Saccharomyces cerevisiae S288C: one gene and its partners. Changing the gene in region 2 together with the main gene of any one other region gives a genetic interaction. Each region holds a gene or a part of one and is shown on either strand. Other genes may lie near its edges.

Region 1 (5,600 bases), on a different chromosome or scaffold from region 2:
TGATGATAATTTAATTAAAAAGTTATGTTTAAAAAATCAACTTTCTTTCCAAGCTTTGAAAGATTACATCACATTGTGGAATGACGGTTCTGAAGTTTATAATGCATTTTATAAGGAGCTTTTCTATGAAGAGCAACCAAAGATTAAGCCAATAAAACTAACAACATCTGACTTGCTGAAATTATTCCCTGAGGATGTTCAATTTGTGATATCCACTCCACCAAATACAATAACTTCAGCATCAACAAGCGATAATTGTACATCATCACAATCAGCTGCGCAGAAAAATATTGAAAACTTTACTACGTTATCGAAGTACGATGTCTACTCGTCCACATCTTTCATACCGTCCACGTCGAAAAACACTAACACTAACGTTAGTAAGCAGCAGCAGCAGCCTCAAAACTCTACTCCATGTTCTTCCAACAGGTTTTTGTTCAACAAAAGCAGCCTAATTTCTCAGGAAAGTAATGGTAGCAACAATAACAGCGGCACACAAGGACCTGGTTCCATGAATGAGAGTTATTCTCTTGACAATTCATTCAACACAACCAATACCAATATGACGAGACAACCAACCACCTTAACTAGAGCAACCGATGCTATGACTACGGCACCTACGACACCAATTCCATACAAGAACACTAGTGGAAGCAGCAATAACAATCTATGGATTGAATCGCCCATGACAAATTTCAAGGGTTCCACCATCAGTAAAAGTACTAATAAGAGCAAAATGGTTAATACTGGTAAAAATTATATTTTAGGGGGCCACAATAAAGTTAAAAACAACAGTAGAGCTCAATCAATACATATAGATGACTTTGAAAATGAGAACAATTAATTATCTCTGCGGAAGACTAAGACAATCAAAATATGTATTCTTACTATCATAATTAAATATTTTTATCGTTATTAATTATTATTATTATTACTATTATTATTATTATTATTATTATTATTATTATTATTTATTATTTATTAATTATTAATTGTTAATATTATTAATTCTTGTCTATTGTCTTTTGATTTATCTGCACCGCCAAAAACTTGTCAGCGTATCAGTCCATGTGTGGGAAGGGCAACGGTAAACTTCTTATGGGTGGTAATGTTTCCAGTTCTTGAACTTGTGAATCCGACTGAGAAATGGGGGTTTGTTGGGTGGATATAGCAGTATTAATCATATTCACCCTTGGTGACAATAATAACGGGGTTGTACTTAACGAACTACTGGAAGCCATCATTTGATTTTGATTTTGATTTTGACTTTGGTTTGACGTATTTTGTGATTGCAGTAGGGTATGTTGCTCTTGCTGCTGTTGTTGAACGTTCAGTAATCTGTTGTTCAACTCCTTTTGGAAATCAGGAGATGATGAGGAGAAATGCAAGTGATTTTGGTTCATTACATACCCCAAAGTGTGCAAATTCGTACCACTAGTGGATCTACTTAGCATTGTCGTGGGCGTGGAAGTCTTAGATTTCTTTCTTGATTGCTCTTGCAAATAGTCTTGCTCAAGGTTATCGATACTAGAGTTAGACGGGTCCTTTAGTCCGTCTTCTTCATCCTCACCACCAGTAGTAAAATCAGAGTCAGATTCGTTGGTATTTCTTTGGCCAACCAACAAGTCGTTCAAACTTAAAACTGAACTTGGTCTCTTCAACTGTACGGAACTCTGAGTTTGTGCTCTGAGACTTCCATTGTTGTTTGGATTTGCATTGTTCAATCCTTGAAAATCCGTTAAAGATCGCGGCCTTGGTAATATAACAGTGTTGGAATAACGTGGTGAAAGAGAATTTTGTTGTTGTTGTAGTTGTTTCTGTTCAGGACCGTCTATGAAAACAGTCCTTGGCGCACTGCTAGCAATGGGCGTCATCATTTGTAGGGACGATAACGCGTTCAGTTTCAGTCTACTGCCACTATGGCTATTGCTCAACGAAGACAAAGCAGTGGAAGCGGATGAAGTTTGGTAGTTCATATTATTCAGTGCTAAAGAAGGTGGAGGCTTCACCGAGACGGGAATCTTAGCCATCGTTTTGGGAGAAGAAACCATATATGGGTCATTCCCACCACTTTCGCCGATTTCGAATTTGGTTTTTCTACCTTTTCTTGTAGAAGATCGACTTGAATTTTCTTTCGGAGCAATAGCAATAGGAATTAAAGGCGATAGGTGTTGCTGTGGTAATGGCGGTGAAAAATTTGCCGTATTTAAATCTGGTATACTGGTAGCACTAGAACTAGCACTATTTATTGGAGAGCCCACAACCTTCTTCTTTCTGCCTCTTTTACCTCGAGGGTGGGAGTTTGTATGAATTCTTCTGTGTCTCGTCAGTTCATCGCTTCTACTGAACCTTTTCACACATCCGGGGAAGTCACACGCGTGAGGCTTCTCACCTGTATGAATTCTCATGTGTCTCGTCTGATGTTCCAGTCTGTGAAAAGCTCTATGACAGATAGGACAAGCATGTGGTCTTGGCGCCTCTGACTTCGCAGCTACTTTGGACTTGCTTTTACTCTCCTTCAATAGTGACCCATCATCAACGTTAGACACTTGTGTCATTGGATATGGGCTTTGCATGGCTATGGTAGTATGTCGTCTCCACTATACTCAACTCTCGTGTAGTTACAAGCGAGCTAGAATAAATGGCTCTCTTATCTTCGAAATGCTTTACCGGGCTTTCTTACTCTCCTTTGTCTTCGTTAATGAGTACTGGGGTGAAAAAAAAGGGTTATAATAAATAAATTATCCAAGAACGACTATTCTCTTTTCTTTTTTCTGCTTGCTCTTCCCCACTTTTCTCGTCCAGCCTGTTGTAAAAATTTGTTGTTGCTTCTTTCGTATTAGTTTTTCCGAAAGAAAGCGCCGCAGGGCCTTTACCATCACTCCAGGTTTTCCCGGAGTGGGGTGGCAGTCCGCAGTCTCTCGCGAAATCAAAGGCAACAAGCAGACACGTGGAGAAAAGCCAGGAGAACTCAAGAGCTCGAACAAGTATGCTAGCAACTAAACAAGCCGGCCTACGCCACTCTGGAGTTTCTCGCGGGGCCCGGCCGCTACAGGTTTCCTGAGAAGCCATTATAATGGCAACTACATTCATCAACACTCCATAAAATCCTATCGAGTTACACTGCTAGTGTCGCAATTGCGCTTTTCTGCTGCTTAATTGTGGGCCCCAAGCTCTTATCACTTGCTACCATCCTATAAACTGTATGGAATGCCATCACAACTTTCGGAAAAATAAAGCGCTTTTTTACGCTATCAGTGGAGATATTACGAATTAGGCACAGGGAAGAAATAGATAAAAAATTCATGGGGCCAACCCCAGACGTCAATCTTCTACACGTCAAGTTTTGAAAAAAATTAAATAAAAAATAAAAAAAAAAACCGGCGCGAAGGAAACGTGCTGGCTCGCTAACTTCTAGTCTTACTGTACTGACTACCTTCCAGTCCTACTGGTTATACTGCATTGTACGGCAACTTACACACCCCACGCACTTACTTTCCTCCACAATGCCATCTAGAAAAATCGATTACCCGCTAATTTTCCGGGAAAAAGTCGATTAATGTAGGTTAGTGGCAGCTATGCTAAGCAATGATAAAGGAACCATACACGATATTTCTACAGAAGGCTATTAAATAGGGTGAAATAGGATGAAGCAACAATCAAAAATTATGAAAGCATCCGTTTTCTCGCTATTCTAATAATGGGACAGAACTGCCAATTCTTGATCTGGTGATCCATACGATTAAAATAGGGGTTCATCGCATGGAAAGTCTGTAAATCACACTTGCCTACCATAAGGAAGTCATCAATTCCCGAATTTTAAACGGGTTTCTATGAGTATTTGGAGGATGTTCATTCTTGGTAACATTACTGATGACATTCAGTGATACACTGCCTTCAAGGAAACACACGCGATAGAGGCAAAACAATGTTGCAACGGCAATTAATTTCTGTCATTGTAATGAATTTCTGCTCGTTGCTTCTAACCATATCTTGTGTAACGCTTGCGTTGATATGCAAAAATAACGAGATGGAATTTGCTGCCCTCTTTCAGCCATATGATGGCGGCAAAAACTTTGAAATTTGTGCACAGGATATAATAAGCTACTTCTTGACTCTAACGCCGTACTACAGTTTACAAAAAATGTATACAAACTCTTAGGATTGGTCAAGAAAAGTAAATGTTGTACTGCTCCAAAGATATTGCGATGCCGTGATAATTCAAAAGGGTCGACCCAGTCTATTTCACTCGCGCGATAATCGTTCGTTATCCGAAGCTGGCCAATTGATACAATTAATTGACATCAGCAGACAGCAAATGCACTTGATATACGCAGCTTAAAGCAAGGGTAAATTATCTGAAAAAGGATTGAATACAATCAAAACCTTCACATACATTGGTAGTAATATCGAGCATCGCTATTAGCAGAGTATCTCGAAGTCTACCACGGCGAAAGTTGATTTTTTATCTGAGGTGCTGATCTTCGGACGCAATGCGCAAACGTAATTCCGTAGTTTTCCCAATTATTTTATTTTTTAAATTACACGTACCAGGTAGATCACATACATATACCCAACACCTGTTATATAGTGAATTGAATTATTCGGAACATCAATAATCCTTTGCTTATAATTCTTGTTATCATCCATCTTGCATCTTTATTTAATTATATTTTGCACAATAAGCTATCTATGTGAGCTGCGTACGGTGACTCCAAACAATCTGTTAATTTCCATATAAATAACTTGTAGTCGGATCGTACAATGGCTCTATATAGGTTTGGACCGGTATGTAACCTAATATGGCTGACTCAAAACCTGCTAGATAGTTATCCAAGTGAATTTGAGTCTCGTATCCTTTATCACATTTTTACAATAGTGGCTAGCTATCTTTTTCATGTTAGGCTCACCCGGTATTCTCATGCAAGATCAAACAAAAAATGGTAAAGTTTTGGACTTTACATTGCTTACAGTTGCTTTTTTATGAAGATTCAAAAGATTATGTCCTCGGCGGCTAAATTTTCCATTAATAATATTATCCTTTTACGCGACCGAAAAAGAGAAGCGTTTTAAGAGTTGTTTCTAACAAATATTAATAATAAAGCTAACGTGAACTGACCAGGCTCTATTTGAAAGATATGGCACCGAAAAAGAAATCAAACGATAGAGCCATTCAGGCAAAAGGCTCAGAAGGTTAAGTATTTTTTTACATGCTCATCAAATACCGCCATTACTAACAATTGTACCCCGGGTATTTTATCAGCTGAACAATTAATAGAAGATTACTTGGTGTCACAATATAAACCATTTTCTGTAAATGATATAGTTCAGAATTTGCACAATAAAGTGACAAAAACAACAGCAACCAAAGCATTAGAAAATCTCGTTAACGAGAAACGCATAGTGTCTAAAACCTTCGGAAAGATTATAATTTACTCTTGTAATGAACAAGATACAGCATTACCAAGCAATATTGATCCTTCTCAGTTTGATTTTGAAACTGTATTGCAACTGAGAAATGATTTAATAGAACTAGAGAGAGATAAATCAACGGCCAAAGACGCTCTTGACTCTGTAACTAAAGAACCTGAAAATGAAGA
Region 2 (5,416 bases):
TTCAAGTTTCAACTACTGAACCACTTCTTTGTTAATGATATCATCACTGATTTCCATATCCTGGACAGCCTTTCAAATTCTGATAGACCTGGTTGTATCTATATGGGCTTACAAGGAACCGTGGGATGCTTTATCCCCTTATTATCCAAGGGGAATGTTTTTATGATGGGAAACATTGAGAATATAATGGCTGAGGCGGATGATACGTTTTATTTAGATTATGAATCAAGAAAGAAGAATAACAATATGCGTAAGGAAGACGATGAAGAGGAATCTGGAAGTGTTGTGTTACAAGGACGGCATGGTATAGAGGATGAAATAATATGTGAGGGTTCCTGTTCCATTTTAGGTAGAGACCACCAAGAATACAGAAGCTATTATGCCCCTGTACGTAAAGTTATTGATGGTGATTTATGTGAAAATTTCCTGAGACTTTCCTTGAATGAGCAGGAATTTTTGGCCAAAAATTTAAAGAGTGTACAAGTGGAGGATATAATTCAAACAATCAACGAAGTCAGAACAAATTACATGTAATGATTTTACAGTAATAATACCAAGTATAAAGGCGTGTTAATGTATTTTCTTAATAAATATATGTACAAGGAATATATGATAGCTTTAAATATAAGAAATATAAAATTTCACCTCATCTTTATTTCTGTTTTAAAAGGAAACCGTTTTAATTCATCGATATGCCACCTCTGTACATTTCGTCGATGATTTTACCGTTTTCCAAGTTTTCACATAACAGCTTCAAGTTGTGTGGGTAAACTTTACCAAACCATAATGAATCCAGCTTGTTTTGCATCTTTTCTCTGCCGAATAGTTTATAGAAAATGACATTACCAGCAAAAATATGACCCCCAATATGAGAAATTAAGGCTAGATTATTCTCAGGAAAAAGCTTTTCATCTTGAAATGCTGCAATTATGTCGGGTCCCATTTCTCCACACTTAGCATCTCTCTTATAATGCCCACAGACTAAGTTCCAATCTCTTAGAAAAGTTTCACCCTGAAACCTTGTAAGCTTTCTATGATGCACTTCATGAACCTGTTGGGAAGCCTTGGCCTTACCGCTTAAATAATCCTGGAAGGATAGCTTTGGTGCTTGAATAGCTCCTTCATCTAAAAAAGATGCAAATTCCTCGATGTCCGTTTCCTTAATTACATAAAGCTTCATGTCAGGAATAACAAAAAAATAAAGCCATTCATCGTGTTGTTTTGGCCTTGGAATAAATTCATTTTGCAAATGCACCGCATTTATTAGTATTCCTGGAGAACCACCTAAATGGGAGCGCAATTTACTAATGGCATTATATGGCCGATTTGTATTAGTATCCAAATTATGATTCCATGCTACCTTCCATGGTTGAGCAAACCTATCACCCGGTGATAACAGCAAAACATGCTTATTGTAATTGGGCGTTCTATGAGGAAGCTTGATATGAGGATCTAATGGATCAGTTTTTGAAGGCAGCCTTGCGTTTATTTCTTGGCAATAACAGTTTGTTTGATCATTTTGAGCACGGGTATGAAGATCAGGAACGCTAATATGTTTGAAGCTATGATGGAAGGATGCCCGCTGCTGCAAAGTTTTGACAGTTATACGTAGCATTTTATTTTTTGTGTCAGTGCACCTTCTCTCACTTTTCTACTAAGGAAATTTGATATTTCAAATGTAGTATGCTAATAAATAAGAACACCCGCATGCACGAAAAAGGGAAATTTAAAACTAGTTAGGTAAACAAAGTTCAGAACAAGAAATGATATGGTTGTTTTACATAGATATATACTCAGTATTCGTTTTTATAACGTTCGCTGCACTGGGGGCCAAGCACAGGGCAAGATGCTTTTATAAACTATAATGCGAGATATTGCTAACGTTTAATGTGGAGCCCATCATGTTACTTTTATAAACGCTCTCGATTAACCTGTGTAATATCAGAGCATCCATCAAGGTGGGAAAGCCTTCGAAATCGAAACCTTGCATTACAAATTGTGAGGGTAATTCAGGAATTTTCTTTGTATTGAAGTGGAAGTCAGAGATAGATTGATACAGTCGATGAATATTACCCACAATGGCATTATAATTTCGTAAATGATATACTTCCATGATTTCTTTACCTGCATCATACCCCGGGTCTAAAGGAGCTTGTTGTCCATTGGCTAGCGGGAAGTCGTTTGCTCTAGTTCCACTGTAGTAAAGGACCAGATTTGAAATTTCTGCGAAGCCGGCATCGCCTTCAAGTTTCAAATCTCCCTTGGTACCGTGAATGTCAATGACCAAATTTTTGGTAAATTTTTTGGTAGGTTTGCCACCTTTGAAACTGCATGACACTGGAACATTGCCATTTAACAATGTGCCTTGGAATAAAAGATGATCCGGTACTGTCTTTGGGACTCGCTGGCCCAATCGGTTACCACGCTCATCTATCAGCTCTTGCTCTGGAATATTATTGAAAACCATTGCATTTATCCTGGAAAAGTACGAACTTGTCATGTATTGTAAAATATCGATTGTGTGACCAAATGTTGTGGTTACCAGATCTACACCGTTCCCGATTTCATAGATGTATTTTGGTGATTTAACAGGCCTTTCGTAGCCGTACCAACCGCCATTTCCAGCAATCTCGATCGAATTAATGTCGCCGATATAGCCTTGAGATATTAATTCTTTTGCTCTCAAAATATATGGTGATTTACGACCTTGTAAAGAGATGATGGTTTGAACCCCACGTTCAGCAGCAGCCTTATAAATGGATTCGGCTTGATCTAGTGAACATGCAAGGGCCCATTCTACGAAAAGATACTTGAGGTTCGGATTATTTTTGGAGAATTCCAAGAGAGGCATAACAACTTCATAATGGCTGGCCACTTGGATAGCTATCACTATCATATCTATAGTGGAAGATGATGCAAATGACTCTAAAGTGGGAAAAGCAGTGGCATTACTCAATTTTAGACGCTGAATGGTGGCAATAGAAGTCTCAATTTTTGGACTGTATAAGGCAGTGATTTGAAATTGTGACGATAGTTGCAGTATGGCGGGGTAATGTGTCTTGATTGCCCATCCTTTGGCTGCGTTGAGACCGACGAATCCGACTCTTATGGGAGCTGCATTAGGCACGGTTGAGACCGAAGATCTCTTGTTGTAGTCCATGACGGGAGTGGAAAGAACGGGAAACCAACTATCGAGATTGTATACGCTGGTCGGCAAGGACCAGCAGTGATATGTGATGTATATATATTCAGGTTCAAAAAAAAAAGTTATGAGCTTTTGGTTATTATGAATGTAGCAGACATTTTGAGGTCGTTCGGGCGAGAGTGCGCCGGTAAATGAAGAAAATATAGGATATTATTAATATTAGAATTAAACTATTATATTGCAGGGGAGAGAAGAAAGGGGTATAAATATATATTACAAAGCGGAAAACTTGCGCCATTTAAACAGAGACATCGTCCGGGCGCTCGTGTGATTTTCTTATAGTGAAGAAGTTAATACCTTTAGGTTGGTTTTCCGTAGCAGCAGTGGCAGTGACCGGATTAGCATTGGAAGAAGGCCCCACTATGCTTGCACTTTGTTGCATGTCTTCAGGTCCAGTGGCAGTCAATATTGGGTCAGTTGCTTGCTCCTTCTCTCTATGGAAGGGATTCCATCTGGAGGAGGTTCTGTATCTTGAATTGTCGATGGAGTAAGTAGAGGCCAACCTTGCCCTAACAGACCAGAAGACCAGCAGGATAAATTCCACGATACATAAAAAGACACTTGCCCAAGCCATACCCATCATAGAGGCACCCAATTGGGCACTACGATGATCGTCATGGAAAGCATTCTTTGCCATGGCAGAGGCGGCCGTTTGCAAGACAACGGCTGCCGTATTGAAGACAAACCCAAAAGACATGAGGATAAGCACCATCTCTGAAAGCATCTTCGAGCACCAAGTCAAAACGTAAAGGATAAACGACACACCTACAAAGGCAAGCGCAATCCAAAAGAAACAAAATGAAAATCTAGTCAGGTAGTAAAAAGCGTCTCTTTTGGAAATAAACTGGTGAGGGACATTGATGTGTGTGTTGAAGTTATCTACTGGGGAAATGGGGTATGCAGGTGCCAAATTGCTTGTGCAGGTATCCGACCCGTCTTTATCCTGTAGACAGGCGCCCCAAAACGTCCAACGTGTTTCATCCCCAGCATTAGGTATGCCTGTTGTATTGCCCTGCACCCAATAGAATCTGTTCACGGGGTAATGGTCCGTGGCACCAGATATAATCATCAAAATTAACAGCAAGGTATTACCTGCTAAAAACAGCAACACTACCAGACGTAGTACTATATTCCAGACCTTAACCATAGTATTGTGCGGATATGCGTTACTATACTTAGTCTCTTCAATATCTACGGGAGTCAAGAGGTATTAATAAATCTTCTTGCGTGGGTGTTGCTTGTTTGTTTGCTGTTTAAGTATCGAGGAGATGTTGAAAAATGTATCGGGGGCCTCGAGGCGACACCTGCTAATGTTTACAATTTTCCCGATTGGGGTGCTAGAGGCATACAGTGGGCTACATGGCACAGCACGGCAGTGCAGAGTGAGAAAATATGACTTCACGCTCGAGGCGAGGCCACGCTTTCGAAGCTTCGAATGCCACTACCTAGACCATTGCTGTTTTGTACCTTCACGGTCCCATTAGAGACATTTTACTTAATGCAAGATTGCCATATCCGTTGTCATGGTACCAAACAGGGTAATAATTTCTAGAAATCATGATACACGTATGACATCTGGGTAACCTAATCCATCTGGGTAACCGATTTTTCTCTCCCTTTGCTTTCTCTTTACCACTCAGCTGACTTTATTATTTTTTTTATATTTTTCATTTTGACAAAATTATATAGTTAGGAAGAATACAATAGGACTGCGACAGAAACAGATAAGGGCTCTTTTTTCTTGGGGTTGGCTGCTTTTATTCATTAATTTAAGACTCAAGTGTGCTGCGTGAAATGCTCTCATACTATGAACACAATACTGCGTTCCAAACAAACAATTGCAATTCCGGTAGCAATGCCGCCACTACATACAACAGCGACGCCAATAATGATACGATCATGAATAAAAGAAAAAATGACCATTTCGAGTTTGATACACACACTTTCTACCAAAGATCGAAGAGAACAAAACGAGATTCTGTAAGTACAAAGTTTTCGGTCGGTTCCGGGTGTGCTAATCTTAATAACAACAACAACAACATCATCATCAACAACAACAACAACAACAATAATAATAATAATAACCATAATCATAATAACAGCAATAATACTGCAACCTACAATAATATTCATTATAAAAAAAATATCGAAATATGTCCCCTGAAACCGGTTAGTATGCACCACACTATGAACAGCCGCTTACTGAACGAA
Region 3 (7,009 bases), on a different chromosome or scaffold from region 2:
ACACAGGTGTTTTTTTGAACCTGAGTGCTCTATTTGCCGGAATTCTGTACTGTTTGTTGGGTAAGTTGCTATATCCAGAAGCATTAGTTGCAGGCGCCAGTGGGTGGTGTTTCACCTTATTCGCATACTATAGTTTTAAAGAATCACAGATCCGCCCTAGAACAAGGATCTTTCGCACAGACTACTCAATTCCGACATTATATACACCCCTAGTACTATTAGTCGCAATTGCCGTCGTTATACCTGGCTCCAGTTTCTGGGGTCATTTTTTCGGCTTATGTGTCGGTTACGCCATAGGCTACAAGGAATCGTGGTTTAACAAGATCACTCCACCAGGATGGATCATCACCAAAATCGAAAAAAGTTTAGACGGTTTAATTCGATTAATACCTTGGGGAATTAAGTATTACAGAGATGAGGATATCGACAGAACTAAAGATTACGAACCGTTAATGTCCACAGAAACACCATTGCCTCTCCACAATGACAACTCCGGCACTGTCCTAGGGACTGCCTAGACATTTGTATCGCTATTCTTTCTTTCACAGTTTAAGGATGTATATAAATGTAGTATATATCATTTTATATTCTAATATGCAAGAATTTTCAGTCTCTTCTTTTTCCTTAGCGTGCGTTTATGAAAAAAAATGGAATATGAATAATTACTGGGAGGAAGACCAGGGGCAAGGGGTGAACCATCTTGTCATCTGAAATCTTGTATAAATAATTTAGTAATCAGTTCTTTAGGTTTTCGAGAGTGGCATACAACCTAAAGGGTCAACAGACAACAAGAAGGAAAGGAATTATAGGAGCAAATACACGCCCTTCAAATGGATCCCTTTCACAATGGCAATAAAAGGAGCTCAATATCGTTTGGCTCATCGCAGCGGCAGCCATATAACAAGAACAATTACTTGAGTGGTACTAATGGGCCTTCCTCGGCGGCACAAGATCAAGGTAGAGGCCCATCTCCCTTTGGAATGTCTGGCAACACTACCAATGGCGGTAACAGCAAAAGGAATAGTGGCTGTGACCTAAGTGCCACGTACTATGCAAGTCGATCGCCGATGTATTCACCGTTAGATTTCTCGCCACCAGTTTTTTCACCAAATCATTCTCAGTTACAGCAGGCGAGGGGCTATGCTGCAAATATTCCGGTTGTAAGCAATCTGATGAACCCTTCCATGGCCTCCGTGTGCGAATATCAATCACACTATCCACTCTTTGGGCTCGATTGGAGCGCCGACGACTACGTCTGCTTGGGTTCGTACAAAGAGGACAGCAGAAATAAGTTGCAGGTTCTGCACTCTAATGATCTACTGAGCTGGGAAAGCGTAGTGGACGCAGATGTGGTTTATCCTGTGAGCAAAATCCAATGGGTCCCCTCTCAATTGTATCCAAGGAAACTCGCGACGTGTTCTGACTCCTTACGGATTTGGAGCGTTAGCCCTGAGGAAAGACAGTTCCAAGAACAAATAAATCTATCTCTGTGTAAATACAATAGACAGCACCCCGCCAATCCCGCGGCCGCAGATGACATGAAGGTCATAGGCACTTTCCCACCAATAACATCATTTGACTGGAACACGGTCGATACTAACTTGATAATCTCAAGTTCCATCGACACCACATGCATTGTATGGGATCTGCAAAGCAGTCACTACGTTAAGACCCAATTGATCGCTCACGACAGCGAAGTTTTTGATGTAAGGTTTTTGACAAAATCGACCCAATTATTTGCTAGTTGTGGTGGGGACGGTAGTGTACGAGTATTTGATTTAAGATCGCTTGCGCACAGTACAATTATTTACGAGCCTCCCTCTTCCTCAGTGTCTGGAGCCACTGCGGGTACTATAACACCGTCGTCGAAAGGTTCGGACGCCTTATTGAGGCTGGAGCCATCACCGTATGACCCAAATGTGTTGGCCACTTTTGCAGCTGACTCGAACAAAATCATTATTCTAGATATGAGGAACCCAGAATCCCCTATACTAAACTTACAAGGCCACGGTTCTTCGGTAAACGGGATTAAATGGCATCCCACAAAGCGCAATGTTTTGCTCTCGTGCGGAGATGACTGCCAGGTGCTCTATTGGGACTTGAACAGCTCCTTTATGGAAATTAACGCTGCAGGTAGCAAATCCCCCAGTATTCATGGAACTTCCTTGGAGGACCCTGACGGCGACACAGAGATGACAGACGGTGGCGCAGGATCCGGTTTAAACGAGGATCCCTTAAGTTTAAACAACAACAGCAAGCAGGTGTGCAAGACACTAGAGACTCCTAACATGATGTATGCCAATAAAACACAAGAGATAAACAACATTGCATGGAGGCCCCAGAGGGGCGATTGGTTTGGGTGCGTGAGCGGCAAGAAGTTTCAAAACGTCCGCGTCCTTTGAGACAGCATTCGCCCAGTATTTTTTTTATTCTACAAACCTTCTATAATTTCAAAGTATTTACATAATTCTGTATCAGTTTAATCACCATAATATCGTTTTCTTTGTTTAGTGCAATTAATTTTTCCTATTGTTACTTCGGGCCTTTTTCTGTTTTATGAGCTATTTTTTCCGTCATCCTTCCCCAGATTTTCAGCTTCATCTCCAGATTGTGTCTACGTAATGCACGCCATCATTTTAAGAGAGGACAGAGAAGCAAGCCTCCTGAAAGATGAAGCTACTGTCTTCTATCGAACAAGCATGCGATATTTGCCGACTTAAAAAGCTCAAGTGCTCCAAAGAAAAACCGAAGTGCGCCAAGTGTCTGAAGAACAACTGGGAGTGTCGCTACTCTCCCAAAACCAAAAGGTCTCCGCTGACTAGGGCACATCTGACAGAAGTGGAATCAAGGCTAGAAAGACTGGAACAGCTATTTCTACTGATTTTTCCTCGAGAAGACCTTGACATGATTTTGAAAATGGATTCTTTACAGGATATAAAAGCATTGTTAACAGGATTATTTGTACAAGATAATGTGAATAAAGATGCCGTCACAGATAGATTGGCTTCAGTGGAGACTGATATGCCTCTAACATTGAGACAGCATAGAATAAGTGCGACATCATCATCGGAAGAGAGTAGTAACAAAGGTCAAAGACAGTTGACTGTATCGATTGACTCGGCAGCTCATCATGATAACTCCACAATTCCGTTGGATTTTATGCCCAGGGATGCTCTTCATGGATTTGATTGGTCTGAAGAGGATGACATGTCGGATGGCTTGCCCTTCCTGAAAACGGACCCCAACAATAATGGGTTCTTTGGCGACGGTTCTCTCTTATGTATTCTTCGATCTATTGGCTTTAAACCGGAAAATTACACGAACTCTAACGTTAACAGGCTCCCGACCATGATTACGGATAGATACACGTTGGCTTCTAGATCCACAACATCCCGTTTACTTCAAAGTTATCTCAATAATTTTCACCCCTACTGCCCTATCGTGCACTCACCGACGCTAATGATGTTGTATAATAACCAGATTGAAATCGCGTCGAAGGATCAATGGCAAATCCTTTTTAACTGCATATTAGCCATTGGAGCCTGGTGTATAGAGGGGGAATCTACTGATATAGATGTTTTTTACTATCAAAATGCTAAATCTCATTTGACGAGCAAGGTCTTCGAGTCAGGTTCCATAATTTTGGTGACAGCCCTACATCTTCTGTCGCGATATACACAGTGGAGGCAGAAAACAAATACTAGCTATAATTTTCACAGCTTTTCCATAAGAATGGCCATATCATTGGGCTTGAATAGGGACCTCCCCTCGTCCTTCAGTGATAGCAGCATTCTGGAACAAAGACGCCGAATTTGGTGGTCTGTCTACTCTTGGGAGATCCAATTGTCCCTGCTTTATGGTCGATCCATCCAGCTTTCTCAGAATACAATCTCCTTCCCTTCTTCTGTCGACGATGTGCAGCGTACCACAACAGGTCCCACCATATATCATGGCATCATTGAAACAGCAAGGCTCTTACAAGTTTTCACAAAAATCTATGAACTAGACAAAACAGTAACTGCAGAAAAAAGTCCTATATGTGCAAAAAAATGCTTGATGATTTGTAATGAGATTGAGGAGGTTTCGAGACAGGCACCAAAGTTTTTACAAATGGATATTTCCACCACCGCTCTAACCAATTTGTTGAAGGAACACCCTTGGCTATCCTTTACAAGATTCGAACTGAAGTGGAAACAGTTGTCTCTTATCATTTATGTATTAAGAGATTTTTTCACTAATTTTACCCAGAAAAAGTCACAACTAGAACAGGATCAAAATGATCATCAAAGTTATGAAGTTAAACGATGCTCCATCATGTTAAGCGATGCAGCACAAAGAACTGTTATGTCTGTAAGTAGCTATATGGACAATCATAATGTCACCCCATATTTTGCCTGGAATTGTTCTTATTACTTGTTCAATGCAGTCCTAGTACCCATAAAGACTCTACTCTCAAACTCAAAATCGAATGCTGAGAATAACGAGACCGCACAATTATTACAACAAATTAACACTGTTCTGATGCTATTAAAAAAACTGGCCACTTTTAAAATCCAGACTTGTGAAAAATACATTCAAGTACTGGAAGAGGTATGTGCGCCGTTTCTGTTATCACAGTGTGCAATCCCATTACCGCATATCAGTTATAACAATAGTAATGGTAGCGCCATTAAAAATATTGTCGGTTCTGCAACTATCGCCCAATACCCTACTCTTCCGGAGGAAAATGTCAACAATATCAGTGTTAAATATGTTTCTCCTGGCTCAGTAGGGCCTTCACCTGTGCCATTGAAATCAGGAGCAAGTTTCAGTGATCTAGTCAAGCTGTTATCTAACCGTCCACCCTCTCGTAACTCTCCAGTGACAATACCAAGAAGCACACCTTCGCATCGCTCAGTCACGCCTTTTCTAGGGCAACAGCAACAGCTGCAATCATTAGTGCCACTGACCCCGTCTGCTTTGTTTGGTGGCGCCAATTTTAATCAAAGTGGGAATATTGCTGATAGCTCATTGTCCTTCACTTTCACTAACAGTAGCAACGGTCCGAACCTCATAACAACTCAAACAAATTCTCAAGCGCTTTCACAACCAATTGCCTCCTCTAACGTTCATGATAACTTCATGAATAATGAAATCACGGCTAGTAAAATTGATGATGGTAATAATTCAAAACCACTGTCACCTGGTTGGACGGACCAAACTGCGTATAACGCGTTTGGAATCACTACAGGGATGTTTAATACCACTACAATGGATGATGTATATAACTATCTATTCGATGATGAAGATACCCCACCAAACCCAAAAAAAGAGTAAAATGAATCGTAGATACTGAAAAACCCCGCAAGTTCACTTCAACTGTGCATCGTGCACCATCTCAATTTCTTTCATTTATACATCGTTTTGCCTTCTTTTATGTAACTATACTCCTCTAAGTTTCAATCTTGGCCATGTAACCTCTGATCTATAGAATTTTTTAAATGACTAGAATTAATGCCCATCTTTTTTTTGGACCTAAATTCTTCATGAAAATATATTACGAGGGCTTATTCAGAAGCTTCGCTCATATAACGAAAAAAAAGGGTTTGGATCGAACGTAATTGAGATTGATTAGTTAATACTCAAAATAAAACAGCTCCTACCACCAGTGTAAAGTAGAACGTTAATAGAGCAATGTCTTCAGACAAATCTATTGAGAAAAATACAGATACGATCGCCTCTGAAGTTCACGAAGGTGATAATCATTCGAATAATTTGGGTTCAATGGAGGAAGAGATAAAATCAACGCCATCAGACCAATATGAAGAGATAGCTATAATTCCAACTGAGCCCCTCCATTCGGACAAAGAACTAAATGACAAGCAACAAAGTTTAGGCCATGAAGCACCCACAAATGTATCAAGAGAAGAACCTATTGGGATCTCTGGTGATGAAGACACCCAAATCACTGAACAAAACGTTAATGAACAAAGGCAAGAAACGAGAGAACCTAGTTCTGAAATTGATTTAAATGAGCCATTGGATGTTGAAAAAGATGTGACAACGGATGTGCAAGCCCCAAATGGGCTGAATATTGAAAAAGAATATGATGCAGTCAAAGAGAATGAGAAGGTTTACGCTGATACGAAAGAGGTTGTTAGTAGTCCAGAAAATAGGGAAGTAACTGGAAAAAATTCTGGAGGTGAGAAATCATCCTCGAGTAAATTTCTCGATGACGAATCTGGTACTACGACAGCTGCAAATGCGAACGACATTTCTATAAGTAGTGAAGTAACCCCAGAAAGGTCGTCAGAAAATGATAATAACCAGATTCATATTACCAATGAGGTAGCCGCAGGAATAAACTTGAATGAAAACAAGGAACAAAAAGCTGCTATAGAAGATGGGCCCGTAACAGCAGAGAATCTTTCCTCAGAAACTGCTAGGAAAGTACCACCTATACCCACACAAATCATAAATGAAAAAGGTGATAACTCAAGCGAGAACGAGGTTTCCGCAATTCCCACTACATCTTCGCCACCATTACCACCTAGACAAAATGTTGCGACATCAACGTCACCAAAATTACCTCCAAGGGGCAAACAAAGGGAACAACCACCGAAGACGAAGAATGCTGTTCCACCGCCACTAGAGGAAGAAATGAAGTCAGAGAAGTTCCGTAAAAACTTCGAAGAAACTAAAAGAAATAGTTATCATCATGTTCCTCTCACTGGTTCCAAAACTGCGCAATTAGAGTCCACTGCAGAAATTAATTTGATCGCTAGTCGTTACCGCAAGACCAGTCACCATTTGAATAAAGAGGGGGAAGAAACTAGAGAGTCGTTGCAGGAAGGTCAAAGCTTTTTAAAATCGACATTTACGTCATTTCTGGAGAACTTGTCCGAGTATAACGAAGTGGAGAATGTTAATGAAGAAGATAGAGAAATGTTTAAAATTGATTGGTCCTTCTGGACTCAAGTAGTTAATGATTATGCTACAGTGGCAAGCAACGAACCAGAAAATTTAGAAG
Region 4 (5,722 bases), on a different chromosome or scaffold from region 2:
TGTGAAAAGTTAACAGTCATATATTGGGCCCTCTTGCTCCACACAACAAAGAGAGCAAGTAAAAGGAGACCTATATTATGTCATCAAATGATAGCTGAGTTTTTTAACAGAGTTTATAAGGAGAAATCAAGAGTACCTATAACTTCAAGATATATTAGAGATAACCTCGTCGCTTGGGTCACTCAAGGAAAGGAATTGCATGAAAAAGGTTGGGTAGGGGATGCCAAAACTGGCGATTTGCAAGAACAGTTCAATATAGCCACTGTCAAATTATATGAAAGCGCAGAAGACGGGCGTCTTTCCATTGGTAAAGACAAACCCTTTCGAGAGGAAAACACCGGCAGTGATAGTTTGGTTCGAGCGGAAGAGGACTCTACCGCTGTCACTAATGAAAATGGACATATTTCTTCAGAAAAAAACTTGAAAAAAGATCGTAGAGAGTCTATAAGGAACCAAATCCTGACTTTAGACCTAAATGACGAAGATTTTTTCCAAAATGTAATGAAAGTTTTATCAGCCATTGATGAACCAGAACTGAGACAATATGTAATCGTAATCTCAGAATTAGTTAGCATGGAAATGGATGATGGTAAAACGGTACGAGAAAAGCTCCGAGACGTTGAATTGAATATTAATAGGTTGCAGGTTGATATAAAAGAAATAAAGGAAATGCTTGTTACACTGATAAACAAATGACTGAAAAAAGCAACTCCTGGATCGTTCGAACATTCTCACTCCATTAATTGTATGTTAGCTCAGGAATTCAACTGGAAGAAAGTCCAGGCAAGTACCTGACTTATTTTCTAGAGGACCCCCCAGAGATAAGTCTGGTGATGTGGTCCTTTAATAATTTCATAGGGACAATTCATTTTGCGTTTTTAATTTTGCTCGGTGAACAAAGGATGGCAGAGCATGTTATCGTTTTCTTTTTTTTTTCCTGTTTTAGAGAAAAAGGTTATATATGTAATAATACTCTGATATATGTACACAAATAATAGGTTTAGGTAAGGAATTTATATAATCGTAAGGATATCATTGATAAGGGAAATTTTTTTTTTTTTTTTTCAAACAAATACTATGATAATTAAAATGAAGAAAAAACGTCAGTCATGAAAAATTAAGAGAGATGATGGAGCGTCTCACTTCAAACGCATTATTCTAGCATGGCCTTGTACCACGGTTTGTCGTCATGTTGTAAATCCTCTAAATCGTAATTATTACCTCTTCTGGATGAAGGAATCCAGCCTTCAGATTTCCAAGGTAAAACACCTTCTTCCCATAATTCTTGAATTTCTTCTAACGATAGGCCTTTAGTTTCTGGAACAAAGAAAAAGACATAAAAAAACATGGCAACCAAACAGCCCATGAAGACATAACCGTAGTAGAAGTTAATGGCAGATGTGATGAATGGGGTGAAAAATGCAATCAAGAACCCCCATACCCAATTGGAAGCAGAGGCCAACGCCATACATTTCGACTTGACTCTCAGTGGGAATGATTCTGCTGTGATGACCCAGGCAACTGGCGCCCAGGTTGTGGCATAACAGAAAATATAAAAACAGGTAAAGACAATCATACAGTTACCGGCACCTTTAGAAGATGGCTGGCTTTTACCGTGAGGATATAATCTAGTAACACCAACAGAGGCGTAGATGACCATACAAGCCATCATAGTGGCAGCGCCCAAAAGTAAACATTTACGATGTCCCAAGTTTTCGACAGTCCACAAACTAAAGAAAGTGGAGGCAAAGTTGACTACACCAATGACAATGGATGTTTCAAAGGAATCATCCAGGCCAACTGACTTGAAAATAACGGTACCGTAGTAGAAAAAATAATTGTTACCGGTTAATTGTTGGAACATTTGAACAAACACACCCATCAACAAACGTTGAAATACTTTGGTCTTGGTGGAAAATAATTCCCCCCAGGACGCATTGCCAGCCAGTTTTTCAGCTTCTATACCGGCCATGATCAGATCTAACTCTGCCTGGACGGCAGGATCCTCTGGTGACACCTTGTTAGACTTAGCAATGGAACGCTTGGCGTCTTCTACCTTATTCACCTCACATAAATAACGTGGGGATTCAGGAACTAACGTCAAAGCGCCAATCATAAATAATGACCAAGCGAAACATAGCCCTAATGGAACTCTCCATTGAACTGAGTTCGAATAGCTCTTTGTACCGTAATTAGTACAGTAGCCCAAAAAGATACCTGCAGTAATCATCAGCTGATAACAAGAAACTAGTGTGCCTCTCAAGTGCTTTGGAGCAATTTCAGAGATCAACATAGGACATAAGACGGCGATGCCGCCGACACCCAAACCAGATATGATTCTACCAATGAAATATTGGTACCACTTGTTGATAGAGGCAATTTGAATGATAATACCAACTATATAAACCGAGACGACAATCGAAAGACCCTTTTTACGGCCATACATATCTCCACCTTTGGAAAGTATAATACCACCAAAGGCACAGCCAATATTGAAAATGGCGACGATTAAACCTGTTCTGACGTTTGACAAATAGTGGGTACCATCCTTATGTTTCATACCAAACCTTCTCAAAAAGTCTGTTTGGACAACAAACCCAGAAATAGTACCGGTATCCCAGCCAAACATGAAGCCGCCGAAGGCAACACACAAACAAAGCAAGGAAACGGTAACATATTCAGACATGGGCTTCTTGGGTATCTCTATAGGAACACTTTGGGAGCCTTCAGACCCTGACTCACCGGCTTTCAATTCATCATTAGAATACTTTTGAGATTGTGCGCTTAAATGGGAATCTTTACTGAGTGAAGAGATCACGTCTTCACCAGCTTGGGGTTGCTGTGAAACAACAGGCATATTGTTCTCCTCAACTGCCATTATGAAAGAATTATTTTTTTTATTATGTTAATCTTGTGTTTACTTAACTATTACTATTCTTGATGATAATTGAATAAGGTGCATAATGAAGAGCAATTCACAACACCAAATTTTCAATCCAATTACTGATTGTTTATATATGTCTACAAAACTTATCCTATCTCCACATTTTAGCCTGCGAAATGTTTGTTTTTTGAACAATAGCTCTCCAGAATGTTGTATAATTTAAGAATATGTGCACAGTTAACTTTCTAGCAGGAGTATAATGCCATTTGCTCCCCATCTTGAGATGGGAAGGGCTTAACTAATCTCGGTTCGGAGTGATCCGCCCCGATACTGCCTTCTGCCTTAATATCGTCCAAGGCACATGGACCCCTGAACGGCGCAGATATCTCCGCACGGACGAAAGACCGCCGGTGCCTTCCTGAGGCAACCGCCCCTTTCGAATATAGATCACGTGACCCATTTTTAGCTACTAATAGAAAAAGAAATTGCAACCTACTTAAGCCATTCCGGAAGGAAGCTTTCCGAATTGACGTTGAGTACCTTTTGTGAAAAGATTCTACCGCATTTAATTGGAGTTTGATGCAAAGTAGTTGCCAGTTACAAGTTGAGTGCGGCTACCTGATATTTTCTAGTCCTATATTGCTGTGATCTGAATCTGGAAAGTTCCCCTGGTCCGTAAACCTCCTTGGATTAGTACAGCCCGTTATGCTCAGTAAATGTAATAGATGTGCCTTCTGCAGCGAAACTGGTATTGTAGGAGACATATTACTGTCGTCTTGGAAGCAAAATTAATGTTTTGCTGCTTTTACTGTCGCGTTTAACAGTTGATTTTCCCAAAAAAAAAAAAAGAAGTTAACAGCATCTATATAAAGAAGGATATAGATAACATGCACATTTTCGTATGTAATAGTTATGTTTCTTATATCTTGTACCCATATAACAAAGACACAAGAGCTTACAGAAGTTTGACCTTCTTGATGTCTTGGTTAATTCTAAACATGTAGTACGCCAATGTGATCATAATGAAAATCAGCAGTGCCAACCATACACTTATTTTGGAAAATATCTCATCATGACCTTTGGTCTGCTTGCCATACAGCTTGGCATCTTGTCGAATTTTTTCTTGTTCTTTTATCAATCTGTCCAGGTTTGCGTTCATCGAAAGAAAATCTTGGAAACTATCGTCACTTATGGCTGTTTTCTTCAGATCTAACAGTGGTCTTAAACGTTGAATCAGTTCACGTTCATTCTCCACAATCTTGTTCATCTTGCGGAGTAATGGATCGATATCATTTGCCATGATTTTCCCCTCCAACTTGTTCATCTTTTCGAAAAGCTCGTTACTCGTTATACTTTCTTCCTTATCAGAAAATGGCATCTTTTCCCTGAAACTCTCTTCACCAGTTTGAGAATTGATCACTTTAGTAACCACTCTGGGTTGTCCCATAGGATTCACGTTAGGAATTAGCGAATCCTCTATAACTCCGTCATAAAGCTTCATTTTCAAGATTTCAAACGATTCTTTGGATGCATCGTTGATAGCACTTGTTCCAATCCTAAATGGGCTGCTGCCCATAAATTTAACTTTCCTTGTCTGGAAACACACTCTGTTGTCCATTTGCAACTTTAACAAGTGATTATCTAGTGGATTGTAAGTCAATCTTAATGTTGATGGTACCATGGAATCCTGGTATTGGAACAGACATGACGCAAAGTACGGTGAGGATTCAATATCAAGATCTTTTGTTCCGTCATTCAAATACGCTGTCACGCTCTCTCCCAACTTATCGTCTAATCGTAACAATATCATCAAACCATTAAACTTCTTCGAACTTCCACCAAATAACTCGGTACTATCTCCCTCATTTCCTTGCTTCAGCCAAAATGCAAGACCCCCCTTTGTGCTGCCTCTGAACCCGAAACTTCTAAACGTCCACTCTATTGTCATTGCATCCTTTATTGAATATTCAGGTTTCAACCAAAGTGAACCCTTTGTGTTCTTTCCAGGAGTTAAAACAAACCTCCCTTCTTCAAGTTTTACTTTGTCACCCAAAGTCCATTGTGAAAGTTCTTTTTGCTGATCTGTCACTTCTAGCAAATTTGGTAGCGAGTATCCTTTATTCCATTTCAATTCATCCTTCTGCGTCACTTTTCCGTGTACCATCCACACACACATATATAACCATATCAGTCCATTAATGAAATTCATCTTCTTTTGCTTAGTTCCAGCTTTTGTTCCTGTGATTTTCCCTAAAAGCTGAAGAGAGGAAGCTGTCTTTCTTGTAGTCATCCTCCCCTAACTCGCTTTGACGAAATACTACAATGAAATATGCTATTATTCTGAAGACAGAAAACCAGAATAAAAGAATACGGTAAGGAAAAGTTAAAAATCCTGTTAATGTTGTAATATAGAATATCCTGTATATATTATAATATGTAAAATGTTGATGTTAATGCCCCTTTGCAAATAAATGTAGAATAAGTAAGTAAATAAAATATAATCGTTCCAGAAACTTTTTTTTTTCATTTCTTCAATGCTCTTGATCCCTAGATTGAAACAATGCCTTTGGCTTGAATCTTCTCTTTTCTTCATCCGTTAACCTTCGTTTCTCTACCACCTCTCCCTTCTTATTGACATATGTTATTACGTCTTCTATATCTGGGTTTTCTCTCAACATTGCCCTTTTACGTTCATTTCTAATTTCCTGAGTGACCAGTTCATCTGATGCAAAGGGATTTTTACCCACCCGCACTGGATTGATGATGATGTCTTCCTCGTCTTCACTTTCTTGACTCCTGGCGTCATTTTTCGGAGAGTTGTTGTTCCAATTTTTTGCC

The links.
Region 1: of GAL80 (region 2) and MIG1, changing one enhances a phenotype caused by changing the other (phenotypic enhancement), as found in Saccharomyces cerevisiae (3 studies listed by BioGRID, with this or other methods).
Region 3: mutations in GAL80 (region 2) and GAL4 together harm fitness less than expected from each alone (positive genetic interaction), as found in Saccharomyces cerevisiae (3 studies listed by BioGRID, with this or other methods).
Region 4: mutations in GAL80 (region 2) and GAL2 together harm fitness less than expected from each alone (positive genetic interaction), as found in Saccharomyces cerevisiae (one study listed by BioGRID).

What each region holds. Positions count from the first base shown.
Region 1 is NC_001139.9:430,487-436,086, forward strand, and holds MIG1 (transcription factor MIG1), read right to left. Parts: upstream 2,577-5,600; coding exon 1,062-2,576; downstream 1-1,061. Other genes in the region: VIR1 (Vir1p), read left to right, coding at 1-844; YGL034C (uncharacterized protein), read right to left, coding at 2,728-3,093; HOP2 (Hop2p), read left to right, coding at 5,139-5,193, 5,264-5,600. UniProt on the Saccharomyces cerevisiae protein: Involved in glucose repression of the SUC, GAL and MAL genes as well as of the CAT8 gene. Binds to two sites in the upstream region of SUC2.
Region 2 is NC_001145.3:169,338-174,753, reverse strand, and holds GAL80 (transcription regulator GAL80), read right to left. Parts: upstream 3,161-5,416; coding exon 1,853-3,160; downstream 1-1,852. Other genes in the region: U2 snRNP complex subunit RSE1, read left to right, coding at 1-534; AIM32 (Aim32p), read right to left, coding at 680-1,615; SUR7 (Sur7p), read right to left, coding at 3,444-4,352; YML053C (uncharacterized protein), read left to right, coding at 5,000-5,416. UniProt on the Saccharomyces cerevisiae protein: This protein is a negative regulator for the gene expression of the lactose/galactose metabolic genes. It binds to GAL4 and so blocks transcriptional activation by it, in the absence of an inducing sugar.
Region 3 is NC_001148.4:78,018-85,026, reverse strand, and holds GAL4 (galactose-responsive transcription factor GAL4), read left to right. Parts: upstream 1-2,670; coding exon 2,671-5,316; downstream 5,317-7,009. Other genes in the region: putative rhomboid protease RBD2, read left to right, coding at 1-518; YPL247C (uncharacterized protein), read left to right, coding at 831-2,402; GTPase-activating protein GYP5, read left to right, coding at 5,674-7,009. UniProt on the Saccharomyces cerevisiae protein: This protein is a positive regulator for the gene expression of the galactose-induced genes such as GAL1, GAL2, GAL7, GAL10, and MEL1 which code for the enzymes used to convert galactose to glucose.
Region 4 is NC_001144.5:287,368-293,089, reverse strand, and holds GAL2 (galactose permease GAL2), read right to left. Parts: upstream 2,879-5,722; coding exon 1,154-2,878; downstream 1-1,153. Other genes in the region: SRL2 (Srl2p), read left to right, coding at 1-696; EMP46 (Emp46p), read right to left, coding at 3,840-5,174; cyclin-dependent protein serine/threonine kinase inhibiting protein SIC1, read right to left, coding at 5,416-5,722. UniProt on the Saccharomyces cerevisiae protein: GAL2 is a facilitated diffusion transporter required for both the high-affinity galactokinase-dependent and low-affinity galactokinase-independent galactose transport processes.